2 linked regions of the Drosophila melanogaster genome follow. The main gene of each other region encodes a partner of the protein of the gene in region 2 in a complex. Each region holds a gene or a part of one and is shown on either strand. Other genes may lie near its edges.

Region 1 (6,379 bases), on a different chromosome or scaffold from region 2:
GATAATATTGCTCGATTCGCTGTTTGTTGAGGTTGTTGTTGTTTTGCATAGTTTTTATTTTTAATCTTGATTTGGTTGTGTGGTGTTGTTGCTGTAGTTGTTGATGTTGTTGTTAATTAAGCACTTGGGGCGCATATATAAAATCTATTATTCATTACTTAGACCTATGAATAATAGGATAATTTAAGTTAAATTTTGGAAATTTCGTATAATTCTCATTTAAATATTTAGAATAACTTGTTGCAATTTGCACTTGATTTTTAGTTTTTGTTTTGGTTTTTCTCTAATATTCGTATGTTTTCTTTATGCTTGTCCATTTACCGATAAAGTAAATCTCTTAAAGTAATTGCGTTGGTTGATTTTGAAGCAGCTTAAGTTTGCGGATTGTAAAAATTGTTGATTTACTTGATGGATGTAAGAAATATATATCTATATATTATGTGCTATATATGTTAGTATCGCTTGGCTACATTAAGATTTGATTGCACCGTTAGCATATAACGCACTTTTTCCACGATTCCATATCGTTTATTCACTTCCCGTGTGGGTTTCTCATTCTATAATTCCCTTCGGCCGATGTTGTATATGTATATATGTATGTATGTAAGTGCTATGGCTGTGTATATGCATATGTATATAATGCGTGTATATATAATAACTATTGGAAGGCGTACTTTATAGGCTTGCTAAGTTCTGCTCAAAATTTTTACGCGACTTTGTTAAAGCTAATGGCTACGATTTCGTTAATGCAAATGTTTTTAAACTTTGTTTGCTTTCTTTACTAGATGTTGAACTTTTTTCTCTCGGGTTTTATTCATATTATGTATTATTGCTTGTATTTGAGGCGAATTTTAATGATAACGTTGGCTGTAAATATGAAAGTGATTCTTTAAACTATATTGAGAACTATAACTATAACTTTTAAAATGTGTCAATCGGTTCGCCATGTTGTTTTGTTAATTGATTTATATAACCTAGAAAGTTAATTTTAGATTTGGTTTCGATGGCAGATTGGAATCTTCCGAAAACCCCCTTTTCGGGAAACATTCTTCCAGCTGCAACAACAAAATGCCACAAAAGAAAACCAAAAGCAAGGACACACACATACATCCGCACAGATATTCACTCTTCTCTTTCCCTCTCTTTTGCTCTCCCTGCAACAGCTGTTGATCGCAATTGCAGCACACACACACTCACGTACACATTCTGATGCACTTATCTCATATGCACATACAAATGTTGATGGAAGAACAGCAGGTGTTAAATATAAAATCAAAATGTAGCGTATATAATGTCATAAAGACGCCAGATGAGCGAGAAAATTATCGCAATGTATCTGCTCCGCTCCGTTGCTGTTTGTGAAGTTGCTACTTCGGCTACCACATTCATTCATTCATTAGTTGTTGTTGTTGTTGATTTTATTCGAAGAGCGCACAAGCAAAGGGCAACGCACCACAACAACAAAAATTTTCCTTTCCATTTTGGCGTTGCTTTTGCCTAACAACAACAACGAATAAGAAGGTGAAGAAGAAGACGGCAGTTCCGTTAGCAAAGCAAAGAGAGCGACAGAGTGAGTGAGTGCGATCGAGAGCGAGTGAGAGAGCAAGAAAATCACACGGTCCAGGTCCAAGTGTGCCGTTTGAAAAATTGACAATAAAAAATGCGCATTTCACTTTTTTTGCGCTCTCTTCTGCTTGAAGTCTCTTCTGTTCCGTTTTCGAGCTGTTTGTTGTTGTTCTCGATGTTTGCAAAAACAAAGTTGCTGTAGTTGTTTTTGTATTTGTATTTGATCTGTTGATTTCCATTTGATATGCATTGGAAATTTTGCCTCCGAGCTAGCGAGCGAGACAAAGCGATGGGAGGGATGGGTTGGAAAGGGGGACGGTGGCACATGTGCTTCGTTTCGTTTAAGAATTTACACTCTTCACTTCTTTGAACTTACGTTTTCGAATAACATTTGATTTAGATTACATTGATTTAGATTTAGATTTGATTTTGCTTTTGCCTTTGCCTTAGCTACTTGCTATTGCCTTTTCTTTTTGCTTTTGCCTTTGAACTTTGCACACAGAAAAAACATGGATTGCACACACACACACTTCTTTGAAATGAATATATTTCAGATGGCAAGCACTTTCATTGAAATTCGATTGCAGATATTCGGTTGGGCGGCGCGATTTGTATTTTCTATATTTTTTACAAATTTATTTTGCTATTTTCGCTCACATTTTTTACACGGCGCGACGACGGCGCCGATTTTCGTGTTCGACCGGCTGCGAAATCCAAAAAGTACTACATCTTTACCGTTATTATTCGACGATTCGCTCGCCTTCAACCGCATGCAACTCGAACTCGTACTGAGAGAGCCGTCAAACGCCATCGAACCGCTATCTCAAACATTTTGTCGACTGTTAGTGCGAGCAGCAGTTAACATTAATGCTAACGCAATGTAGACATAACAGTGCCAAAGATCCTCTTTAACTTTGTTGTTAATTGATTATGCAAATTATAGTTAAATATTTAATCAAATTGTAACGAAAACTGAGTCGTGAATGAGTTTCCTGAGAGAGAGGAAAAAGAAGAATGCTGATTGGAATTTGAATTCGAAACCGTGCAAATAACAAAAGAAAAAATGCTCTCCTCGGCGATTTCTTCTTCTCGCATCCTCGTTGGTAAATGCCTATTGTTTGGTAATTTGACTCCATGAATCAATTTTAATGACTTCGACATTTCATATTAATAACAAAAGCAAAAGAAAGTGAGACTAGAGATGTTATAGCAAACATTACATTGTACAATTATATAGATCATTTAACCAAAACATTTAAAATGCTTGACCTCCTATCTTTTAAAAGAGGAGTTCAATAAATAACACGAGAGGTAAATTATTTTTTCATTGAAGACTCTTCTATAAAGCTGTTTGTTTAGGAAAATGCTTTAGGCTATAAACTTCTGAAGCTTATATTTTGAGTATGGAGTTCTCCTATTTCGTGGAGACTATTATTTTGTCATTTCTTAGGAAGAAAGCATGGGTTGTTGCGTACGTGATTAAAGTCATATTTCTAATTCGAAGTACAAAAACAATTAAATACTGCAATTATCTATTTCGATATTATCAATATAAATATTGAATACAATACATTGTTTAGAAAGTAGAAAATGGAGTAATCAATGTTAACATTAAGAGAATTCCAACCACAATGGTATTTTCGCTTTATTCTGACGGCATTGGCCATATTTATTTCATCAGTTGGCAAAGCATCTCTGGGTTCGCGAACAAACACAATAGTATTTAAGTTTGTCGATTATTTTCAACGTTTGGGCGAATGGACGTGGACTATTGGAATGTCGGCTTTCAAACAAATAACAATTGTTCTTATCAGAATTGCTTGAGGTGTGTGTGCGTGTGACTCTCTCTCCCCCTCCTACTTATAGCATTTGCATTCTCCTTGTTGAGCCGATAGTGTCCTTTCACCCTTTTTTACTTGGAGTATACAAGTATTGGTATTTTTCTGCGTTTCAGTTATTCTTTTTAAGGCAAACACCTACCTAAATAATTGATAAAAACAAAAAGCTAGCAAACCCAAACACACACACACACACGCACGCACACAGCGACGGAAAGAGCGCATGAGAGAGGAATTGTCCGTCTGGCATTTTGACGTTTATTACTTTGCCTGTATTGTTGTTGCTGCTGCCTTTGCATTGCCTCTTTTTTTGTTGCCTTTGCGCGCGAATTCGCTGCGCATAGCAAATTAAAATTAAAAGTTTGCGAGAGCGAGAGAGTGCAACAAAAAAGCAGGGAAAAAATATCAAAATTAATTTCTTTTCGGCGTGGCGGGAGAGAGAAGGACAGAGCGGAGAGAGAGAGGGAGAACGAGCAAAAAAGAGAGAGAGAGCGCGCGACGACATGACGAACTTTTGACACATTTTGTTTATAACAATTGTCTGCTTTTTGCACTTACCTCTTTTTCGTTTGCTTCAATTGCTCCTCTCTGCTGGTGACTACAACTTAATATTGTTTTGTGTGCGAAATCAGAAATGCCAGTTTAAACATTATTTAACACAAATACGTTTACGCACACTAGCATATATGCTGTAGTAATTTGTTGTTGTTGCTGTGCTGTTGGTGGTGGTGGCGATGGTGATAAAGCCTTGCCGTTTTAGACGATTTCTGGTCTCCTCGCATTAAATATGTTTAGTTTCCATTACTGTTTGTTGTTGTTGTGATTGTTGTTATGTGGTGTATTAATAAAAAACGTACGCGAACTGCAGTCAAAGTCACTCACACTCACACTCACACGCACGCACACACTGGCACACGGCATACGGCACACACAAACGCACGCACGCACACACACAGCAACTAGTAATTCTGCTGTGCGAAAGAGACAACATGAGAGCGCTTACGAAAAAAATGTTTGTGTAAGTTTCCCCGAAAACGCGATTTCATCCGGAAAATGCACTGCGCTCGCATTTCGCCTCCGCCGCGTTGGCCATTTAATCACTTTATATGGTTCCGTTTCGATTGCATTGTTTTTAGTAGGGGTTTTTAACCGAAATTTAGTTGCGTGTTTTGTGTTGGTGCAGAGAGAGCAGGAAAATACACATATCGTTATCGATGGGTCGGCTATCGATACGGCAACTATCGCCCAGCTGATTGGCGGGCGATCAGCTGTGCGACGATAGGTCCAGTTCTGGAAAATGTCGGTACCGCATATTTGCTAAAAATTTCGATTTTCTCTTACTTAATGAATGATTTTTGGAACCGGTTTGTCTAACGATCTGAGTTTTATCTAGCAATGTGTTTATCCGAGCGTTTTTGAAAATTCATAAGCAGTTTTCAGTGTTGGTTTTCAACACTGGTTTCTTATCTCAATGTCTAATCCAGAAAACCCAATTTTGGAATGGGCAAGTATCTTAATGGGAAATATGATATACCTATATAATCTAATCTACACTTAGCTTGAATGAATATCTATTGAATCCAATTATCTTATTTGTCGGTACAAAATAATGATAAGAATCTACGAATGAATCTATGATAAATCCTTATTGATTTAAATAGCGGATTAAGGCACAACGAATCCTCTAATATATGTCAATTATAGTACTATGCACTGGATTTCTGCACCTGTTATCAGAATTCCGTTAAGAAGTATACTTATCAAAATCGAATAATTTCACAATTTTAAATATTTCTATGTTATCCACATCAATTTTTGGCATCCCTGCCGCCCCCGCAGTGTGGCCGTATGCGCTGATAGTGGGCGCCGCAGCGAACAGCTGATAGGGCTGCAGCATATAAATGAGCAGGTGGTAAATAAATGTTTTTAGTTGATTCCAAGACGCCATTCCGTGCGCGTTGGCTTCCTGATCAGAGTTTATCATTCGGCGGGCGCGGCCATCATTAGATTAGATCGACATTAGTGCGTTCCGCTCGGCGATCGGCAGCAATCGATCCGAAATAAACAAACGCTCGCGTATTTACATAATTTAAGTGAAAAGTAACGACGACAGAATGACGAACACCGATGTGCGAAAGAGAAAAGTAAGGAAAAGGTCAAAAGGGCAATCCACAGCACAAATTTAATGCCAATTTCATGGCGCTCTCTCACACACACACGCACACATGCGAATTCCTCAAATTGCTGCTCTTTTGACGCGGAAGTAAAACATCAAATGACTCGCAGAATAATCGTTTCAAGTTCTATTCTATTCGATTGTGCCAATTTGTATCTGAAAATGTATGTTTACAAGACATTTAAATATAGATACGCAATGGCCGCTAAGCACGCTTTTGTTAACAATTATGCAAATTTTGATTTTAGTTACGAAAGAGATGACTAGTGGGTTTTCTATCAACATCTTAATGCCGGCCGGTTTATTTTGAAATATTTTCGTATTCGCATTAGGGTGACCAGTCAGCAGGAACTTTCTCATTTGCAAGGTCATTAGGGGGGGCTGATAAAAAAAAAGCATAGAAAAGTCCAACGATTCAGTTGGCAGCCGTTTCGACCGAATCTCGCTAGACAACTTTTGCAATCGCTTTCTCGCATCGGAACCCAAAGATCACAGGTACACATAGAGTGTCCCATTTCGGGGGCGATTGGATCGCATAGTTTCGACTGATTTGCATCGCAAGTGGGTGGAGAACAGGATGCGGGCAAACCGGAACCGGTTGCAAGTGAGTGCAGATAGTGCCTGGCTGCTAACGTGGCCTTAACCCTCGTGTACCTACGTGTACTCGGTACTACAATATATACTAGATACTTTTGTATCTAACTCGATATTTGTTGTTTTCACAACATCTGTGTCTAAACTTATCAGCATTTTCTAGATAGCACACTTCTACCAGCTTTCAATGTTTGTATCTTTCAAC
Region 2 (11,073 bases):
TATATGGCCAGCACGGTGGTCAACGACATCTCGCTTATTCGATTGCCCGCCTTTGTGGGTTTCACTGATCGCATCCGGGCCGCCAGTTTGCCCCGTCGCTTGAATGGCCAGTTTCCCACGTACGAGTCCATCCGGGCCTTCGCCTCCGGCTGGGGGCGGGAAAGCGATGCCTCCGACTCGGTTTCCCCCGTGCTGAGATACGTGGAGATGCCCATTATGCCTCACTCCCTGTGCCGGATGTACTGGAGTGGAGCTGTGTCGGAGAAGATGATCTGCATGAGCACCACCAGCGGCAAGTCCACCTGCCATGGTGACTCTGGCGGTCCGCTGGTCTACAAGCAGGGCAACTCCAGCTACCTGATCGGATCCACCTCTTTTGGAACCTCTATGGGATGTCAAGTGGGATTCCCGGCCGTGTTCACCCGCATCAGCAGCTACTTGGACTGGATCCTTAACCATATCATCGCCCATAATAAAGAATAAGCTAAGACTAAACTGTTCTTCCTAAGAAAGATCTACTTGCAATGATTTAAATAAACTGGATAATTAAAACACTCTAAAGAGCGGTAAAGTACATTATGACTCCATTAAAATGCATCTAAATTACAAATTCTCTCTTCCAAATTAGAATCCTATTTTAGTTAAGATATTTATTTAAATTATTTAAGAGTTATTTGCTAACGAAACAAATGAGATATTTAGAATAAATTTAGTTAAAATTTTAAGTACAAAATTAATTAATATTTGGACCGTTTTCAAGAATCTGAAGTTTCGCTCAGAAAGTTGAACAAGAAGTTCCCCCAAGCACCGCAAGAAAAACACATATCATTTAATTTTCCTGATTTTTTTGTTGTTTATTTTTTGCATTTTTATAGTTTTTTGTTTAGAATTTTGCGGGGTTTTGAAGATTTTTATTTGTGCCCTCGTGGGGGCGTGCAAGTGACGAGTGAATTCATATTCGAACGCACAACCAAACAATCCCAATGAAACCCGACACTTGCCCGCCACCCGAGCGGCGGGTTTTCCATTTGCTTTCCAAGTATGTACAAAAACTTAAGTTAGGAGGGGCGAGGGGTGGGGATGGGCGTGGGCGGGGAGTGTGGTAAAAGGGGCCAAGAATAAGTATATAAAGGGAAATCCAAATCTTAGACGCAAATTGCGCATTCTTTCGATCGATTATAAAAACGGGTTTCTCGGGTTCCCAACTTAAAGAATACGTTTCTCGACTGCATGGGATGGATGGTGTGTGAATGGATGTGTGGTGTGTTTAGAGCTATATATGCTTGCAGCTTAATGCAGTAGTAGAGAAATCGAATACGAATATACGAGTACGAATAGTTTTGAAAAACGCGCAACGTTCGCTTAACCTTTGCCTTAGTCGAAAATTACATAAAATTTCATTTCATTCTCATTTTCGCCTCGAATATATAGATCATGCCTAGATTTCTATATGCCTAACTTTTGTTTCTCCTCGTTTAGCCTTCTGTTAGTTTTTCGTTCGTTTAGCTTAGTTTGCTTGCAACGTTTTCGCTTGCATTTACATAATTTTAAAACTTTTTGTTTTCTTGCACAACAACTTTTGTTTTATCCAAAATTTAGTTTTGGGTTTCTTTTTTGTTTGCATATTCCGTTTTTGTTTTGGGACTTTATTATTTGTTTTTGTTTTGGTTTTTTTTTTGTTGTGGTAATTTGTTTTGTAATGCTATTTAAAAAATAAATTAAAACAAATGAAAGCTACGTCAACGTTCCAGGCGATCTTGAAACATAATATCATCCGCTGAAACAATCCGATCTTTTTACTTATCTTCATTGAAAAGTGTAAATACACTACTGTATATATTGCTAGGTGTCGAAAACTATATTGAAACACGGTTAGTAATCGGGCAATCGTTCAGAAAGGAAGGGAAAACTTTGCTAACTAAAAATAAACATCTTCATTCATTTTCGGATTAGCAACTATGTATTAATTAAATAATTCATTATGTGGTTTGGCGTCTTCAATTTTGAATCAAAGCGCTGGCTTTCCATTTACTCTCCTATCCTCTGCCACAACTATATGCTCCTCTGTGGGGATTATTTTGAAGTTCTTACTCTTTCTATCTCTCTGGCTTGCATTTAGTTGGGGCCGTATTTAGTATATTTGCTAAGCGGAAGTCTGTACTATATATCTCTTGATTGTGTGTTTGTGAGAGTGGCTATATACAGGTTAGAGTGTGTGAAACGGGTATTTGATTTGCTAACTTAAACGCTAGACGGCCATTGCTGCTCTCTGTGAATTTTCTGCTTGGGTCTCTGATTCCGTTTGCCAACAATTCGCTTAAAACTATTCCGTATTTTTATGTATGTGGGCTTATATGTATGCTATTTATTATAGTTATAAATTAATTAATGCTGTACAAAAGTTTTCGCGATTTGAGTACTGCTTTTACGTCCAGCCCCATCGCGACATCTACTTCCACTCTTCTTCGATCTGCGCATCCGGTTTCACTTCCAATTTGGAGTTTTATCTATGTGCTTAACTAAAATCAATAATGCATCTCACTAACAATCCTAACAACTATACTACAATCGGACTTACTGAGGTTCTATACATATATCAAAACGTACGACTTAAGAATAACCCTCTGACCGCTACCACTACTTCTTGTTGTAGACGGGCATGGGAGGCGGTGCCAGCCCAGCGGCAGAGGGTGGTACTGCACCGGTGGGCGCCAACAGCATGGATGGTGGTACAGCAGTAGACATGGGGGCGCCCATTCCTCCAGACATATTGGGTGCGGCGCCAGCACCGCCAAGGGGATTAAAGATGCCGCCACCAGCGCCATTGTACTTCGCGTAGTCTTGGCTCTTATTCTTTTTGCTCTCCTTGTCGCGGTCACGATCGCTGTGCTTTTTCTTGCTGCTGCCACCGGAACTGCTGCCGCCCGATGAGCTGTAGCCACCACCGCCGGCACCATAAGGAGGCAGAACAGGAGCAGCTGCTCCGATCGAAGCGGATGTGGTGGTAGCCGTAGTTGGAGGCAAGCCATATCCGATTGCGCCAGGCAGACCCGCCGCTGCAGAGTAGTTATTGGGTTCAACCTTATTTTTGCTGATCTTAAGTTTAATGGGAGCTGACGCACCGGCCTGCAGGCTGCCGTTGGGATTCTTGATAACCATCTTCAGAGGCTCATTGGGAAGAGAACTGTCCTTGCTGCCACCGCTGCCGCTACGATCCTTCTGCTTGTCCTTCTTGTGCTTCTTACGCTCCTCCTTTTCCGTCTTGTCCTTGGACTTGTCCTTCTCCTTGTGTTTGTGTTTATCCTTCTTCTTTTTCTTTTCGGACTTGCTGCTGCTTTCCTCCTTAATCTCTCCGGCCTGTTTAGTGGGTACTTCCAAATCCATGGGTGCGGGCCCACTAGCCAAACTGGTCATCGGAGTTATTCCCTGTTCTTTCTTGATTGTCGCTGGTGCGGGCATGGGCTCAAGCAGTTCGGCCGGTGGTTTCAGGCCAGGCATAGTCAAGGCATCCGGTTTCAGGAGCGAAGCGTTCGATGGACACAGACTCTCCTTTAGCAAACTGCGCACCAGATCCGGCGTTGTCTCGATTCCGTTGGACATATTCAGAGGCGTGTGTTTCTCCTCATAATTCGGATAAGTTGGTAGTCCAGTTGTAGTGTCCAGCTTGCGAAGCTTTTCTCGAGGCATATTACTGTTATCTATTTCATCCAGCTTATTTAGTCCATACTGACTTCCCGAGATCTCGTTGGGCCGTTTTAGGCTTCCACTCTCTCCAGGATTGGTCAACAGGTCCCCGCCATGGGGTATCTGCTTCTTGTGAGGCGGTAGCATCGGCTTTGATGATCCCGAGCCGGAGGAACTGTTCCCACTGCCCACTGGGGGCATGACAGGACGGTGCTTATCCTTTTTGGTTGGCGTTAGTCGCTCTTTCTTGGGACTTTCTTTGTCGCGCGGATGGCTATTTAGCTTGTAATCGTGGCCGGGAGGCGCAGGAGGGGGTAGCAAACCGTTAAAAGGCTGTGGTTGCGACTGCGACATGGGCTCCTTTTTAATGTCTGGCCACTCTGGACTGAAGAGCGAGTTCTTGGACTGCAACGAGTGCTGGGATGCCTCCGGAGGCATCTGTTGCTGCTGAGACTGAGGCACTGGCTGCTGCTGCATGTGGCCGTAGCTCTGGCTCTGGGAATAGGGCAATTGCTGCTCGAAAGGCGGCATGCCATGGACGGTGGAGCCGGATTTGCTGCGATGGCCGCCGTATCCGGCGGGAGGCGGGGGCTGGGATCCATTGCTAGCGCCTGGATATCCACCACGCGACATCAGCGGGTTTTGAGGGGCACTATTACTGTATGGCGGCGGTGCGTTCGGATACATTTTGTTGCTCTGGGATTTATCCTTGGAGGACATGCCCGATGCAGAGGAATTAGAGGCGGATGGATGTGGGACCGGCTGCTGCTGCGGCTGCTGGGGCTTGGAGCCCGAAGTCATCTTGTGGCTGCCGTGAGGTGGCATGCCCACGCCTACCGGCGGCATGCCGCGAGAGGATTTGTGATAGTCCACGGGCATAGACGGTCGGCCAGGCTGCTGGCTTGAAGACGACGAGGATGAGCTGCTGCGCTGGCTGCCACTTCCCGAGGAACCGAGTCCACTGCTACTACTACGCTGGTGACTTGAGGGCATTCGATTGTTATAGCCCGGCTGCTTTGACTTGTGATCTTCAATACGAAGATGTTAAAAATGTGATTCTTTTTGCAGTTGTTGAAATACTTACCCGTATGAGCGTCGGGCGGCATGCCACCAGGGTAATTTGGCATCTTGTGACTGGAGGAAGACGACGAAGAGCTGCTGCCTGGCACTCCGCTCACTGAGGACGAGCGCTGATGGCCACCATCCTGTCGTCTTTGCTGCGGCACCATAGCCGGTGGCGGCAGTAGTGACGACGGATCCCGTTCCCGCTCTCTCTCCCGTTCACGATCTCGGTCCCGATCCCGGCTGTCGTTGCCGTTTAACAGCTCTGGTGGTGTCGTGATGTTTGAGTGGTAGCCCTTCATCATCTCGGTGATCTTCCAGTCCTCCTTTGGTTTGTCCTTGCTGTTAGCTGTCCGATTGCTGGCTCCCTGGGCGATCGCCTTGATCGAGTTAAGCTTAGACTTCAGACGGGCCGGGCTCTTCTCATAGATAGCGATGAACTCATCTGTCAGCTGCTTTAGCAAATCCAGCGAGACCGTCTTGTCCACATAGTAGAACCAGTGTTTGCCCTCGGTCGACTGGGGGATCTCCCATCGGGACCACTTGCAGGCTAGGTAAATGCAGAAACAGGCTACGACCGTGGGGCGATATTGGAGGCACATCGAGGTCAGATGCAGGCTGTGCCAGGATGGTTAAGTCAATTTAGTGGGAAATCTTTTGCAAGAATATCACATATAAATGTAGTTCGGTGAGTGTGTGCAGGGGGATTTCATCACTTATAATACAGATTACGTCTTTAGTTCTTAGCATGTTCTTAGCGAGTCTCTTTTATTTCTTGGGGATCTTAAACTTAAAAGAATTATTCTAAAACGTTTGCCGATATTTCGAAATGCGCAAATTTTCCCAATGAGCTCTCCTCATGTAATCAGAATTTTGACTATGTTTTAGGTAGGCAGGTATGCCAAACTGAATTTATCTTTTTTCCAGATGTTTTAGTATGCCAAAGGATTACAATGGTTATCATTACAATTCTTCAAATATCTTTTTCTAGGAATTAACGACTCTTTCTAGGAATTAGTCTTATTCTTGACATTTGGCGGATTTTCCGACACAAATTACAATGTTATTGCAGGCAACTGAGGATAATTACCGCGAGGGACACGGAAAATACTGCCTTTTTGCTAAGATGCGATATTTGTACAGACGTCCTGCTGCGATTAGGGACCGCGTGTTCTTGTTCGATTTGTGACTTGGGGTCGTCACTTTTTTTTTTTGTTTCGACTCACATACCTGGGTTTGTTAGCTATAAGCGAGGAATTAAGCAGGTAAAAGAACTGCCCAAAGATTTTAGCCACAAAAAGTCAGGGATCGAACTCTCTACAGCCTGACCACTTTCTGGGGAGGATTGGGCCAACACCACACCCGCACACACACACACATTGCTTATACCACAGCCGTATTTGCGTTGGGGGCGATCTCTAGGAGGGATTACACCATAGAGTAGCGCATTGCTAGCCATACCTGTTCGAGGCCAAGAAGTACGATGTCTGCGCCAGATCCTTGCATGCTAAAATATACCACAGTAATCAGTACCATCTGACATGTGAAGGGGACATGGCTTGGGTCGGATGGTGGGTGCATACCTTTGACCAGCTGGCAGGTGCGCACCACATGCGTGTGCGGATGATCGATGGCCACATCGAAGCCCAGCGTCTGCAGGAGCACGTTCTCGTTGAACACAAGCTCCTGGGCGAGTTCGGCGTAATTCTGCTCGGTGGTCGGCGGCAGGCACTTGTTGGCGGCCCGAATAACATGCTCCAGCTTCCGCGGTTGCTCTTCTACCTTGGCGGCCAAGAAGAGGCTCGCCGACGCCATGGAGTTGCGATGAAAGTGGGTGAAGGAGTGAAAGGCGTAGAACCGATGCATGTACACAATGGCCGTGTTGATGCACAGTTGGGACACCTGCAGACGCTGACCCATTTCCTGTATCAGATAGGCGGTCATCTGGCGGTACTGCAGCTCATCGTCGCCCTTGATGCCGCATCTTCTGCTTGGCGAATTGGCCAGCTGATCGTTGCTGAAGTACCAGATCTTGTCCTTCTCGAAAGGCAGGTTGTTGTTGGCGGTGATTGGAATCCCGCTGGCCGAGGCGGCCGCGGAGGCGGATGAAGAAGATGAGGCGGTGGCCGCCTGGGGCATTGGCGTGGCTAGGAGACTCATGGTTGTATGTTTCCTTTATCCGTGCAGCGGAGATGGGGATCTGGGATTTCGGGTTCCGCGTGGTTATGCGGGGACCTCCGTTTCACATGCAAACTGCGCCTCGGAATGGACCTAGTAATTCCCTTTTGGCTGATTCAGCTGTAGGAACTAACTGTACGAAGAGGAAGGGAGAGCGCTCTTTCTTTGTCGGCCGTGCTTGAGTGCGCTGGTATTGGTGTCTGTGTCCGTATCCGTGTGCGTTGCTGCTGTGGCGGGGGTGGCAGCGGTACGGAAGGGGCAGTGGGGATCGCACGGCACATCGGCTAAGCCACACTCGATATTTCGCTGTTTTTGGGAGACTCCAATTTGGGTTTGGAACGAGGGGTTAAATCCGCGGTCCGCACACTTTTTCCGCCGCCGCGTCTCTGCGTGTTTGTTTGTGTGTGTGTGTGCGTGGTGGAGATGGTATGGTGTGGTGAGGTTTTCTGGAAACTGCGACTGCGGCGGAAACGAAACGAGACGAAAAACACACTAACCGCGACACCAGGCGACGTGTTATGCAACTTTCGTATCAATTCATAGTTATTCGCACTGCTTTCGCCGGGCACTTTAACCATTACGGGTCGTTTACTCGACGTTTTTAATTCCACAACACATCACAGATTCCATTCACACAGTGACAATGACAAACTTTGCAGAAAAAAATGTATTTTCAAGTATGGCCGTCGGCAGGGCTGCCAGATCGATAAGGCTTTCCAAACCGATGTTTATTTCGCATTATCGATATTATTTTTAAAATATGGCAACATTGATTCTACTGTTTATGTTATCGATTAATAATCGTAAGGTAGATATTCAAATAAATGTAAATACATTTTTAAGTAACTTACCTTAAACTTTACATTTCGCTAACACATGTAGAAATATCACAATGTCAACATTTTTTCCCTTCTTATTCAATTAAAAAATAACGTATATTCCGGGGGAATCGAATTTGTACTTAATATGTTTGAACAGTCCCATCTTAAATATATCTTATTATATGTATATGGACATATTATATATGTACTTTGAGCACCTTCATTTAATCGCATGACTTTTTTTTATCAAAATATCCAAATGTTGTTATGTATATGTTTATATACCTAGTCGGACAACCAGCACTTCGGTTGAAGCCAATCCTCAAACACCGTTACATCCAGAAAAACTTTATGGGCTGGTGGAATCATTGGTCCGTACTTCTTCAAAGCCGACGATGGCCAGTACGTTACAGTAAATGACGATCGGTATAGGGCTATTGTTACCAACATTTTCATTCCTGAATCGAACAACCATGATGTCCAGGACCTGTGGTTCCAAAAAGAGGACGCAATATGTCACACAGCTCGTGCCACAATCGATTTAATGGTGACCGACTAATCTAACGTTTTGGACCTGTAATTGGCCTCCCAGATTTTGTGACTTCTTTCTGTGGGTGGGGATATGTAGAGTTATTGGTCTATGCGTATAAGCCATAACCGACCGAATCATAAGAAATAATACTAGTAGTAAAAAAGACATTCCGAATTCCTGTACAGCTCAAAATGGCTATACATTTTGAGAGCGATGCTCTACCCATTTGAAATCTGTCATAAAAACACATATGAATTTTTTATTGTTATTTATAAAACAGATAATATATATTTATAGTTTGTAGATTAAAATATACAAAATTTAGCTAAAAACCTTAAAACTCTTATGTCGTCATAACAGTAAATAATTATGCTAGCTTGTGACTGTTACTTGCTTCGTTTTTCTTAATGCATTCTTATAAAAATTAATCTAATCCGTTCGCTTGCGCTTGCCTCTAACCATAAAATTCACCTACATACCATGACTTCGATCCAACGTTCGTTTCCTTACTACATAAGCATTAAAGTATATATATATATATTATATATATTGTGGCTGGCTTTAGCTGATTTCTCATCGCAGACATTTTTAAAATGTGTCTGTCAAATGTACAAAGATTGAACAAAAAGTGAAATAAACAGTCTAAAAACTTAACTTAGGTTAGTAAGTCAAAAACTAATCGTATCTAATGTTAATGCATTCAACATATTCGTCTAAATCTAGGCCAATCCATATCTCTACTATTCTCAGGCGGCATAGAATACCTTTGAATAATCGCACGTTTCCATTTAAAAGCTATATAGTTCGTTTCGTTTTTGAGTTACCAATAGAAAGATATCTTGTCTTAGCCTTAGCCTAGCATAGAAATCTTGCCCAACGGCATCGATATTCTATTGCATATAATTTAGTTGGTCTTATCCAGCCATTCGGGGTTATCCAATCTAACAAATAATTGGTGTATACATATAAAATACGTTTATAATCGAGTGGAGTCATGAGGTCCAGAAGTTGTATATGTACAATTATCGTGCTTAGCATGTATAAATGCTTTCGGGTTGGAGTCTCCAACTGATTTAGGCTATCGAAGTGAAAGGAGAGCTCTCTGGGAAATAGGAGATTGAAATTTAAATGTACTATCTCGATTTAAAGCTGCATTATCCGGGTTGTGGCTCAGATTCTTGTTTACCGATTTCGTTGTACTCGACTCGTGATTTTTGCATATCTGGTTCGATGCTGCTCTTGTTGTGGGTGTGCTTATATCTAAGGTCTTATAACATTTAAATATTCATTCCCTAACAACTAATAACTGATTTACGCTAGGTAATAATGGTAGATGCGGTGATCTACGCCAATAAATAGACATACATATAAATCCATGATCTGGGGGAAACCTCATAAACTGAGACCTCGTGAAATGGTGTCTTAGAACTACAAAATACACCGACTGGACTTTATCTAAAATATGTGATCTCGACTTCAAATATCGTCAATCCGAATCTCGACTATCCTATATAGACTTTGAATATATTGTAACTTATGCAACATTATGTACTTTTCATGGGAGGTATATCTAGATTCCAAATTTGTAGCGGGTTCCATATATTTGTATCATATCTTTGCTTACGTTCTATATTTCATTCGGTTTTTATATTGGTTTGTTTTTTTTTTGGTGTGTTTGGTTTGCGAATGTGTAAATAAAACGCATGCACAAATTGAAATAATAATTTTATTTAAAAAATAAAAAATAATCATAAAAAATTGTTTACAATGAACAGAGTTGAACTCAAGACTCACTTTGTTTATTTGCATCATCAATCACCAATCATCATAAACAAAATGATATATTGTAGATTTCATCTTCACGTACACATAATAATAATAATAATAGATAAAGGTACTTAGAGAACGCAACTATTAAAGAATTAGATTAAAGAACTAGGAGTTGGTTTTATTCTCTTTCCTATTCAAGGTATCCTTTCAAGAGATTGCACGTTTTGGGCAGTGTTTGGAAATTGTTGTAGAAGTTGTCGGTATATTGCATTGAGGATTGCGGTTGCAGTATTGTTGAAACTATGGGTCAGTATCTCGGTTTGGTTCGATTAAATGTCCAGATCTGTTCCATTATGTAAGGCTTGTTTCGATTTGTGGCAGTGTGACGTTAACAAGAATACGGTAGTTTAACTTTATGCTTTATAAATAAACTTCAGATCGAGAGACTTGAGTTTGGTTTGGTGTTCTAAGACTGCTTAAACGAGGGCTCAAGAAGTGCCTTCTTCGGGTTTATCCTGTGAGCTTTTCTGCTGTTGATGTTGTAAATATACAAAACTTATCAAATAATAATTACAAGAAAGTTTAGACCACCAGTTTGCTGGGTTCTTAGCTCCAGTTAGGATGTGTGTGTTTTTGTTGTTTTGGGGAAAGTTTCGGGGGATTAGCTGGAGAAACACTTAAATAAATATCCTAAACGTAGTCGTACAAATAGCTAAAACTATGAAATAATAAATTTCCATCTCTCTTCGTTTATAAAATAAGCAACAAAAACAATTAGCCCAAGCACAGACACCCGTGCAGATCGTTCAGATCTCCGTATACATATGTTCATACATAGACCCATATCTGCATCTGCACTGAGCTTGTCCTCGGGCAGCGGGTTGGGCTAGGGGACAGTTGAAAGGTCATTAGGCTAGGCATATACATACTCATATACATTTAGATTTAGCATTAGATCAATAGAGATAGAGAAATTCTTGCAGCTATAGGGGTTCGTACTCATTTACATATTACACACATCTATCG

Evidence for each region.
Region 1: CycT (region 2) and lilli share a complex: the UniProt entries of both Drosophila melanogaster proteins name them as parts of the super elongation complex.

Annotation. Positions count from the first base shown.
Region 1 is NT_033779.5:2,884,162-2,890,540, reverse strand, and holds the start of lilli (lilliputian), read right to left. Parts: upstream 4,613-6,379; 5' UTR 3,963-4,612; intron 2,258-3,962; exon of another isoform or gene 1,943-2,257; intron 868-1,942; 5' UTR 1-867. Other genes in the region: NTPase, read left to right, coding at 5,519-5,548. UniProt on the Drosophila melanogaster protein: Has a role in transcriptional regulation. Acts in parallel with the Ras/MAPK and the PI3K/PKB pathways in the control of cell identity and cellular growth.
Region 2 is NT_037436.4:17,550,167-17,561,239, forward strand, and holds CycT (cyclin T), read right to left. Parts: upstream 7,623-11,073; 5' UTR 6,907-7,622; coding exon 6,330-6,906; intron 6,254-6,329; coding exon 6,208-6,253; exon of another isoform or gene 5,977-6,207; intron 5,666-5,976; exon of another isoform or gene 5,365-5,665; coding exon 4,769-5,364; intron 4,713-4,768; coding exon 2,638-4,712; 3' UTR 838-2,637; downstream 1-837. Other genes in the region: CG7542 (uncharacterized protein), read left to right, coding at 1-483. UniProt on the Drosophila melanogaster protein: Regulatory subunit of the cyclin-dependent kinase pair (CDK9/cyclin T) complex, also called positive transcription elongation factor B (P-TEFb), which is proposed to facilitate the transition from abortive to production elongation by phosphorylating the CTD (carboxy-terminal domain) of the large subunit of RNA polymerase II (RNAP II).